Ovis aries: one gene and its partner. The protein of the gene in region 1 purifies or fractionates together with the protein of each later gene. This does not show direct contact. Links are inferred from orthologs where the notes say so. Each region holds a gene or a part of one and is shown on either strand. Other genes may lie near its edges. The genes, in order: CHCHD4 and TOR1AIP1.

What was found.
Region 2: the proteins of CHCHD4 (region 1) and TOR1AIP1 purify together in Homo sapiens (co-immunoprecipitation; 3 studies listed by BioGRID and IntAct, with this or other methods). This does not show direct contact. The link is inferred for Ovis aries from reciprocal best matches to the Homo sapiens genes CHCHD4 and TOR1AIP1.

Annotation. Positions count from the first base shown.
Region 1 is NC_056072.1:58,006,680-58,011,237, reverse strand, and holds the start of CHCHD4 (mitochondrial intermembrane space import and assembly protein 40), read right to left. Parts: upstream 2,947-4,558; 5' UTR 2,800-2,946; coding exon 2,778-2,799; intron 1-2,777.
Region 2 is NC_056065.1:60,482,722-60,487,284, reverse strand, and holds the start of TOR1AIP1 (torsin-1A-interacting protein 1), read right to left. Parts: upstream 3,100-4,563; 5' UTR 2,881-3,099; coding exon 2,400-2,880; exon of another isoform or gene 2,352-2,399; intron 1-2,351. UniProt on the Homo sapiens protein: Required for nuclear membrane integrity. Induces TOR1A and TOR1B ATPase activity and is required for their location on the nuclear membrane. Binds to A- and B-type lamins. Possible role in membrane attachment and assembly of the nuclear lamina.

The DNA of each region.
Region 1 (4,558 bases):
AACCCGCCTTCTCTCACCCACAATTACTTATCTGTTTACCACCCATCTCCTCGACTGACATGTCAGCTCCTCGGGGGCAAGGGTGCATCTGTTCCATTCACTGCAGTAGCTCAGAGCCTAGAACAGTGCCTGCGACACAGTGAGCAATCAGTATTTGCTGGAAAAGTGAGTGGGGAAATGAGCTCTGAGCTCAGACAAGAAGATCCCAGGCCCCGCTGAGTATGGAGGAGAGATGGCTATCACCATGAAGCAGGTCACAGGGACAAAAATAACACCTTGCTCGGGTGGTCTCATTTCCCCTAGAACACATCACCGCTTGCCACACCCAGCCTGCCCCCTCCACTGCCTCCACCATGCCACGGGGCAGACTACCCACCTGTGCCAACGGCCTCTGCCATGTGGTCAGGGCCGGCACATCACAGGTGCTCGGTGACTGTCTCCTGACAGAACAGGAAAGAGCGAGGCCAGCTGGAAGGAGGACAGCGACAGGGGCAGGGCGGCCCCGGGCCAGGGAGCCGGCCGGAGTCCATGCTGCCTAACGCCCTGACTGACCCCAGGGCTGGGGGGCGGACCCCTGAAGTCAAGTGCATGGGCAAGTGATTCCCTCAGAAGAGAGGGCAGCCGTGTGTACCGGTCCACTGGGTGACGCTGCGGGGAGTGTGGCCCATCTAATGCTCTCAGCCTGCTGCAACGCAGACAAGCCGGAAGAGGACAAAAGTACACCAGGGAATTTCCGAGAGTTTAGGATGTGGAAGACAGGAAGGCAGGGAAGACCTCACTGAGGAGGTGGCATCTGCACTGAACCCTAAAGGATGACGAAGCAGCCGTGAGAAGAGCCGGGGGAGGGACGCACCAGGCCAAGGGAATAGCCAGAGGCCGGCCTGGCTGCACAATGACAGGTGCGTAGAGACCAGCAGGAGCCAGGTCAGGCCTCAATCACACAGGCCTTAATCAGGAAGGAGCTGGGGTCAGTGCTCTAAGTCCCATGGGAAGCATAAGGAATCCATGGATAGAAAAACAAGAAGTTCGGGACTGAGGGGACAGTGGCGTGGATAGATAAAAACCACGCAAGGCCTAAAGGGAGTGCTTTTAATTCTTATCCCCAAAGAAAGAAAGTGATCTTTGATCCAGGAAAAGATATGGGTCTGAACACTTACCTCTGCTTCCCAGATAACATGTGACTCCTAGGAACCCACAAGAATGAGGATTATAGCCTCATTATACTCAAAAGACTAAAAAAAATCTGCTACACAAAGGAGTAAATTAGACTCAGGACGATGAAATAAAAAACTAGAGACCTACTCTCTAACAAACTGGTGAGGGCAGAGGACTTCTGCTCATGGCAGAGTTCAGTATCAATCAATGGGACCTGCTTCTCAGAGAGAGACATCACTGTGTCGTGGCTTTGCGGCCCAGGGAAGGAGGGTTCCTGAGGCAGAATGGGGTACTGGGAAATTGGTCACTCAGTCGTGTCCAGCTCTTTGCAACCCCATGGACTGTTGCTCTGTCCATGGGATTTTTCAGGTGAGAACGCTGGAGTGGGTTGCCCTTTATCAGAATTCCATGGACTGTATAGTCCATGGGGTCACAAAGAGTCGGACAGGACGGAGCCACTTTCACTTTCCTCCTCCAGGGGATCTTCCCCACCCTGTGACTGAACTCCAGTCTCCTGCATTGGCATCTGAGCCACCAGAGGAGGCCACTGGCACAAAGGCTTAGTATTTTAAACTGAGCCGTGAGCTGAAGCTTGACACACTTCTCCTAATTGAAGCATGACCTTGGGCAGGTCACCTCCATCTCTGGGCTCAGGATTTCCTGAAATAACTGAGGGAGCTGGAGTATTCACTAGAGAATTTCCTGGGACTTCCACTTCTCTCTGGAACTTCAGTCTCAGATATCCACCCTCCCCCTCACCCGGCATGGAGAAGGTGCTTCATGAATATCTGCGGAATGAATGAAGACTAACTTCTCATTTTACAAGACTGGACAACTGGGCCTGGAGGGCCTGGGTGTCAGCTCAGGGACAGTTCGTGGTTGCGCGGGGAGGCCCGCGAACCGCGGCCTGGAGACTTCCTAGGTGAGAGACCGCAGGCGGGGACCAACTTTTGTTTTTTTCTGCGGGATGTCTTCCCAGCGGAGGGCTCCCTGGAGTCCTCTGGGCACCAGACGGAGAAGCTCTGGAATCAGACCGCGGGCTCCAACCCCAGCTCCGCGAGTAGCCCGCCGCGTGGCTCAGCCAAGTCACCTCTGGGGTCTTGGTTTACTCTTGGGATAAGAGCAGGGCCTGATTTAGGAAAGTCGCTGCGAGACAGGCCACTCAAGGCTCCTGGCGCAGGGCCTGACCCGTGCCCGCCGGCGGCACTCCCACCGCCAGCGTCGCGCCCACCGAGGGGCGACCTTCCGGGTCAGTTAGAGGCGGTGCAAACGGGAACACGTGGTGCGTGGCGAGCGGCGTAGCAACATAATTAGTAATCAGCACATTTCCCGTTACCAGCCTCAGGCAGCGCGCTCGCGCCGCTCTAACCCCCGGGCCCAGTTTACGAGTCTCCCCACGTGCTGTTCCCTCCGAGGTCCAGGTTCGAGTCTCTCCGAGACCCGGGACAGCCTTACTGCTCCGTGGGCCTCGGTTTTCTCATCCGAAAAGTGGGGCTGGCGACCCCGCCGCCAACCCGCACCCTCCTCCCGGGAACTCGTGCCCCGCGCCCTCAGTGGGGGCGCTGCATGGACCGCGTGTCGCAGGGCCTCGGAGGCCGTCTCCACGCAGCCCGCCCTCCTACCTTCCTGCCGGCAGTAGGCCATGATGCAGCCCGGCGCTCCGACCTCGCGGCGGTCGCCTCACGCCGTGACCTCTCCGCGGCGGGGCGGGCGGCTCGGAGGCCCGCACGGACCCGCCCCCCAGGCCTGCCCGCCGCGCGCCTGCCTCGGCGCTTCCAGCTCGGCGCGCTCAGCCGGTAACTACATTTCCCGGCAGGCTGCGCGCCTCGCGGCCACGCCCCAGGCAGTAGGAACTACATTTCCCAGAATGGCTTGCAGTGCGCGGGCGCGTCTGTGAGGCGTCAGTGGGTGGCAACTTTCGGAAAGCACCCGACCCAGGACTACGTTTCCCAGGAGGCAGTGCGGCACGGCGAGCGAGGGCCAAAAGAGCCCGGGCTCCCTGGGCGGCAGCTCTGTGGCGCGTCCCGGGCCCTGGGTTGCGCCGCTGTCTGCCGCTCTCGGGCGGGCGAGAGGTCGCGGACTCAGTGCTGCGGCGTAAACCCTACTCCGCGCTGGGCCGAGCGAGGCGGGCGGCGACCGGGCCCCACCATGGCCGCGAACGTGAGTGTCTCCTGGTCCGCCGGCCACACCCAGGCCTCCCGGTCCTCCGGCCCCTCTTCCCGCGGGCGTGTCGCGGCGCCCTGCCGGGTGGTCCCCCCCGTCCACTCGCCCGCCTCCCTCCCGCACCCGTGTCCGCGCCTTCCGGCAGCTGTGCCGTCTGTCTTGCTCAGCCCTGCCCGACTCCTTGGGCCCCGCGGTGTTGGGGACCGGGCCTCTGGCCCGTGGCTCCGGCTCGGGGGTCCTCTGGTGCGGGGCGCCTCCGCGTAGCCCTTCTCTTCGTTCCCGGTTCCCTCCTGGACCTTCAGGGTTGTCACGTGTGCGGACTTGGAGGGCCGGACGGGGCCGCAGAGAGGTGGCCAGTCCACGGGGGCGGTGGGGAAGCCGATCCGCCCTGCTGGAGCTGTCCAGCGACGTGCTGTACGGGGCGGGCGGTGAGCTGCGTGCCCAGCGGGGTATGTAAGACCGGGGCTGTTATGATACAGGGGCGCAGGCCAGGTGGGGAGCGGAGACTTCAGGGCGGCGGGCAGAGGGGGGCATTTCCCTACGGCCGGGCGCTCGTCCTCCTAGCAGGGGTTTAGTTGCAGAGCCCCTCGCTGAAGGTGGTGCCCCTGGAAAGGCTGCTGGCCTCCTGCCAGCAGCCAGCCTTTCTCAGGAACCTTTCTATTTAAGCCAAACATTCATTCAACAAACCGAGGGGCACCTCCCACCAGGGTGTTGGGAGAAGGAGCTGGTGACTCAGGCTTCGCTCCTCTGTGAAAGTGTCTGGAGCCAGCTCGGAGCCCTGCCAGCCGGGGCACTCCCTCCCTCTTGCTTTGGTTGAGCGTCCTAGCCACTCTCCGCTGCTCTGTTACACCCTTCCAGGCTCCTCCTCTGTCCCCAAGCGTCCTCTCTGCCTTCCACACCCCCTGAGAAGCCAGGGCTTTCGTCACCCACAGCCCCAGTACACCCTGCCTGGTGTAGAGTTGTTTGGGAGGCCGAGAAGCCTTAAGCGGTGCACCTAGAGGTGGTCCCCCAGATGCAGGGTCTGCCAGGGGAGGCCTGGGCTGTGTCAGGAGACAGGCGTGCCCTCAGACCACCGCCACCATACCTTACAGATGAGGGCTTCCCAGCAGGGGCACGTGCTTGCCCAGGGCCCCACAGCCAGCTCGGTGGGTCATGGGAAGGTGTGACAGGCTTTGGAGTCAGGCCCACCTGGGGAAAGATCCAGATTCTTCCTCAGTAGCTATGTGACCTTAATTTCTTG
Region 2 (4,563 bases), on another chromosome or scaffold:
TAAAGAACACAAATAACAATTATAAAATTCAGAATATGCAAAGTGAGTAGAGATTATGTATATTAACAGCAATATATAAACAGAAATGCAAGTAATTCATTGTTATGAAAAGTTGGTCTCTCTGTGCACGGGCGCCACATCAAATCCCAAAGACAGAGTCATGAGTGAAGCGGAAAAGGACAGCTTTACTGCTTTGCCAGGCAAAGGGAGACACCCCAGGCTTCTGCCTCGAAAAACTGTGTCCCATCCCCAGAGGACTTCATGAGTGTTTTTATAAGTGGGTCAAAGGTGGGGTGTCTGACAAGATAAGGGTGTGAGCAGGGTTTGCACTCCCTTACTCTCATCTCAGGTGGTCAGTCTCCTAATCCTGATGATTAATCTGGGCCTTTTAATCTTGCATCAGGTGAGTTCTTGGTTGTTCTTACTTTGATTAGCGACTGTTGGAACCTGCTCTTTGGAACTCAGAGAAGGTCATAATGGCTATCGTACTGCCTCCAAACAATGGCAAGACTCACAGGGGCCCACTCAGTTTCAATCTCTTCAGAAATGTGTAATTAAGGGGTTCCCTGGTGACTCAGTGGTAAAGAATTCGCCTGCCAATGCAGAACACTTGGGTTTGACCCCTGGGTAGGGAAGATTCCTCTAGAGAAGGAAATAGCAACCCATTCCAGTATTCTTGCCTGGGAAATCCCATGGACAGAAGAGCCTAGTGGGTTACAGTCCATAGGGTGGCAAAGAGAGTCAGACACGACTTAGGGGACGCTAAACAACAAAAAATTAGGTTTACCAAAACTTGGGAATTGAACTAGTAGTAGTTCTTACTACTCTTTAGGACAACATAAAAATAAACTACTCAGCAATGATGCTTTACAAAATAAATATAGAAATATTACTCTAGAAAATTTAAAAGACGGGCTAAAGAGGAAGAATGAAAAACGTGTAGATTCTCATAGATTTACTAAAAATAGAAGTAAATCCTTTGTGTGTTAAACAAAAAACAAACAAACTAGCTTTTACAATTGCATAGGCCTGCGTGGAAGTCATACAACTTAGCATATTTCCTTTGCCTTCCAAAGCATTCTTCTAGCTACTGGAGATACAGAAAGAACATAAACACTGAAGTATAACATGGTCCCTCAAATATATATGTAGGATCTGTGTATATATGTAGGATCTTTGTCTTCAGAAGTTTATAATCTTAAAAGAGATAAAACATGTATAGGGGTTACACGGTCTTGGTATTACTCCCAACAGTAACTCACATATCTTTAACATAATTTCCAAAATCATCAACACTTCTACTGTGTCAGCACTTCAGGCATCAGCAGGCAATGTGCAGTCTATTTCTCAGCTCTAAACTGAGAAAATCCACCTCCTCTTCATCATATCCACCAATGGTCTATTACCAACTATGTAATCCCATTATGATTCAAACCCCTTGGTTTTACCTCACAGGTGCGCTACCTGGAGCCAACATGAAACTCCATCTGTGACTCAGTGTTAGATGGGATAGGGGCAGCGTGGGACAGGATGCATTACCGGCGATGATTCATTCATCTGTGACTTTCCTAAAACTACACAATCACTTTGTCAGTAACCCTGTGGCCCATTTAGATGAAAACTAATGAAAGTCTTGCTTTGTCACGCTACTGCTTAACTACTGAGGTTACACTGACGGTCCCCAACATCCGAATTTCTGGCAGAGACCACCACACTAGAGAAAGAGTGATCAGTTCAAGTTTATCACACACTGGGAAGCTTCAGGTTCAGGATGACTGCCTTGACCCCGTTTCAGTGTAAACCATGTGGGTGGGATCTCAAATCAATTCATCAACTATGCTAGTCCTCAAACGGCCACTCACGAAATTCCCCTTCCTTTCTCCCCTCCTGGATAGTGACGGGGAAAGACTGGAAGGTTAGATGAGGACCAAATCTCACTGAAGGATTTCTGGCCTCGGAGTTAAAGGAGGAAATGGAAGTGGCTTTGGCAGAAACATCCCAGGGTAGAGAGAACCGATATGAAACCGATGTGAAACTGAACTCTGAGTGATTCAGTGTCCTGCCTTCTGCCTAACTCGCCGCCCCGAAGTGCAGGCCTGCAGAAAACGGGCAATCCTGACACCTCTAAATTGATGCCCAAGGAAGCACGCGGCTCCTCGACTGTGCTCAGGTCACTACGCACGACCGCCTTTCCTTCCGGCGCCCCCGCCCTGCCACTTTCCCGCCAGCCGACGGGGCGGCCCGGGGGTGGGGGCTCACGTCCAAACCGGAGAAGCTCAGAGGGGACGAGCTCAAGGCAGGCACACGCCCGCCCAGGACGCGCACACCCTTCGCGCGTACCCGCCCACGGCACTCCCTCCCTGACTCGCGGCTGACACTGTTACCTCCGACTGTCTCACCTTCGGATGAATGGGAGTCCCGTAATCCTCTTCTGGTCGTAACCGGAGAGGGTCGTATCGGAGGCGGCGGCGAGTGCAGCTGCTCCTGGAGGCGAGTAGCTCTCCGAGTCTGCATCTCCTCGGCTTCGTGGAGTCGGGGTTGCCTTCGCTGCCGAGACCGAAGGTAATAGGCGCTTTCTCTCACTTCCTCTTTCGCCGAATCGGGCCGGAACCCTTCTAGCGGAATCTGTCTTCCCACCCGGGCCTTTTCTTTGGCCGCCCGGGGCTCGAAGTCGCCGTACACTTCGGGCGGCTCTTCTGAGAACCTCACTTCCCGCCGGCCGTGGCGCGACGGCGTAGGAGTTCCGTACGCAGGCACGTCACTGCTGCCGCCATTTTGAGGGGCGAGCCGGGGCCTTCCCTCCCGTAGCGGAGCCCTGGGCGTGACGTACAGCGCCCATCCTTCCCTCTCCGGCTCCGCCCGCCGCCCCTCGCCTGCCATAGTTGTTGACGTAGCTTGAGTCGCTCGCGACGGTGTTTTGCGGTGCCCTTAAGAGTCTCCTGCCGTTGGTGGCGATCGTTTTTCGGGGTGTAGGGCGGTGGTGTCGGCGGTCAGGGAGGCAGTTGAGCGTCGCCGGGGCTGCCGCCTGCGTCGTCGCTGCTGTGCTGCAAACCGGCCCCTGGGCCCATGGTGTGCTCCGAGGGCTGTGGGAGAGGCAGTGCCTGTGCTGGGTCAGCTGCCGCGCGGGTCACTCCCGCCTCCTGGCTGAAGGCACCAAAGAGGAGGAGAAGAGCGAGGAGGCGTCGCTGTCCTCGGCCTTCGGGGAGGGAGGGAGGGAAGACGGAGAAGGGACAAGTGGCTGGGCAAATTGCCGGTCCTCAGTCCAGCTGCTCCTGGCAACTGTTGCCTGCTCGCAAGAGGCGCCCGGCCGGGCCCCCAGCACAGAGTCGCTGGGAAAGGCGGAGTGAAAGGCGGGTGGAGAAGTCTCGGTCCTCAGCCCCAGGCTGTTGCGCAGTTTTCCCGCAGCCTTTTTGATCGACTCTTGCCTTCGCCGTACCTTTCCAAGTGTCCCTTTGCAGGGCTGATAAGACATATTCGCAGGTGTCATCTTTCCCTGGAGAAAATTTTAGTTTGAAGTTCCTTGGGAAAGCAGTTTACCAGTTTTAGGTTTTAAAAGTCACTTGTTGAGTACAAAATCGGATCTACAGGCTTACTTGGGTGGATTTCCATTTACAAAATGTACGCAGCAAACAGTATTACTCCTGATTTCGTATAAAGGCTCTACTTCAGCAACACTGTTCAGAGACATTGTTAGTGCTGTGCTATGGGCAGTGAGAAGTGAACAAATACTTTGATTAAAGAGAGCACTGTAATTTTCAGTTGTGATCCATTATTTTCACTTTGCTTCTGAGCATGACTTGATATGCTGCGTGTGATACAGGATTTTTTTCTGCGTTTAGTTACTGAATAAGAAAACATGACAAAACCATTTGTTTCACTTCTGTGTACCGTATTTGCAGATGTGGAAAATCTGCAAATATCTAAACTTAGACACACTGAGGGAATGTTATTGAAAAATCGGATAATCTTGCCTTCACATACACACCCCCTTCTCGGACGATTTTCCATAATTGATTTTAGTGACTAGATTTTAAAATTTGCAATTTGGATAGCAGTTACAGTGAATGGGCCTGAAAATTTTGAAGTGAAGTGTAAGTCGCTCAGTCATGTCTGATTCTTTGGGACCCCATGGTGTACTGTCCCTGGAATTCTCCAGGCCAGAATACTAGAGTTAGTCTTTACCTTCTCCAGGGGATCTTCCCAATCCAGGGATCGAACCCAAGTCTCCCGCATTGCAGGCATATTCTTTACCAGCTGAGCCACAAAGGTGTGTACTCTTTCATGTATTTAAAATCACTTTAGAATGTTTTTGAGCAACTCATTGTCCAAACTGGGGGCACATATTTTATTTTAATGAAATTTAACGATGTCTTGTGTTTTCACTAATAGGCCATAAATTTGGCCACAGACACAAGTAATTACATGCTTTAGAATCACCTAGGTTTTTGCTTGATGGAAGCTCTTGTTTAGTTTTCTGTTTTTTTTTTTTTTGTTGTTGTTGTTTTTTAATTATATACAATACAGCCAAAGAAACAGAAGGAATAGCAACATGAGAGATCCTAC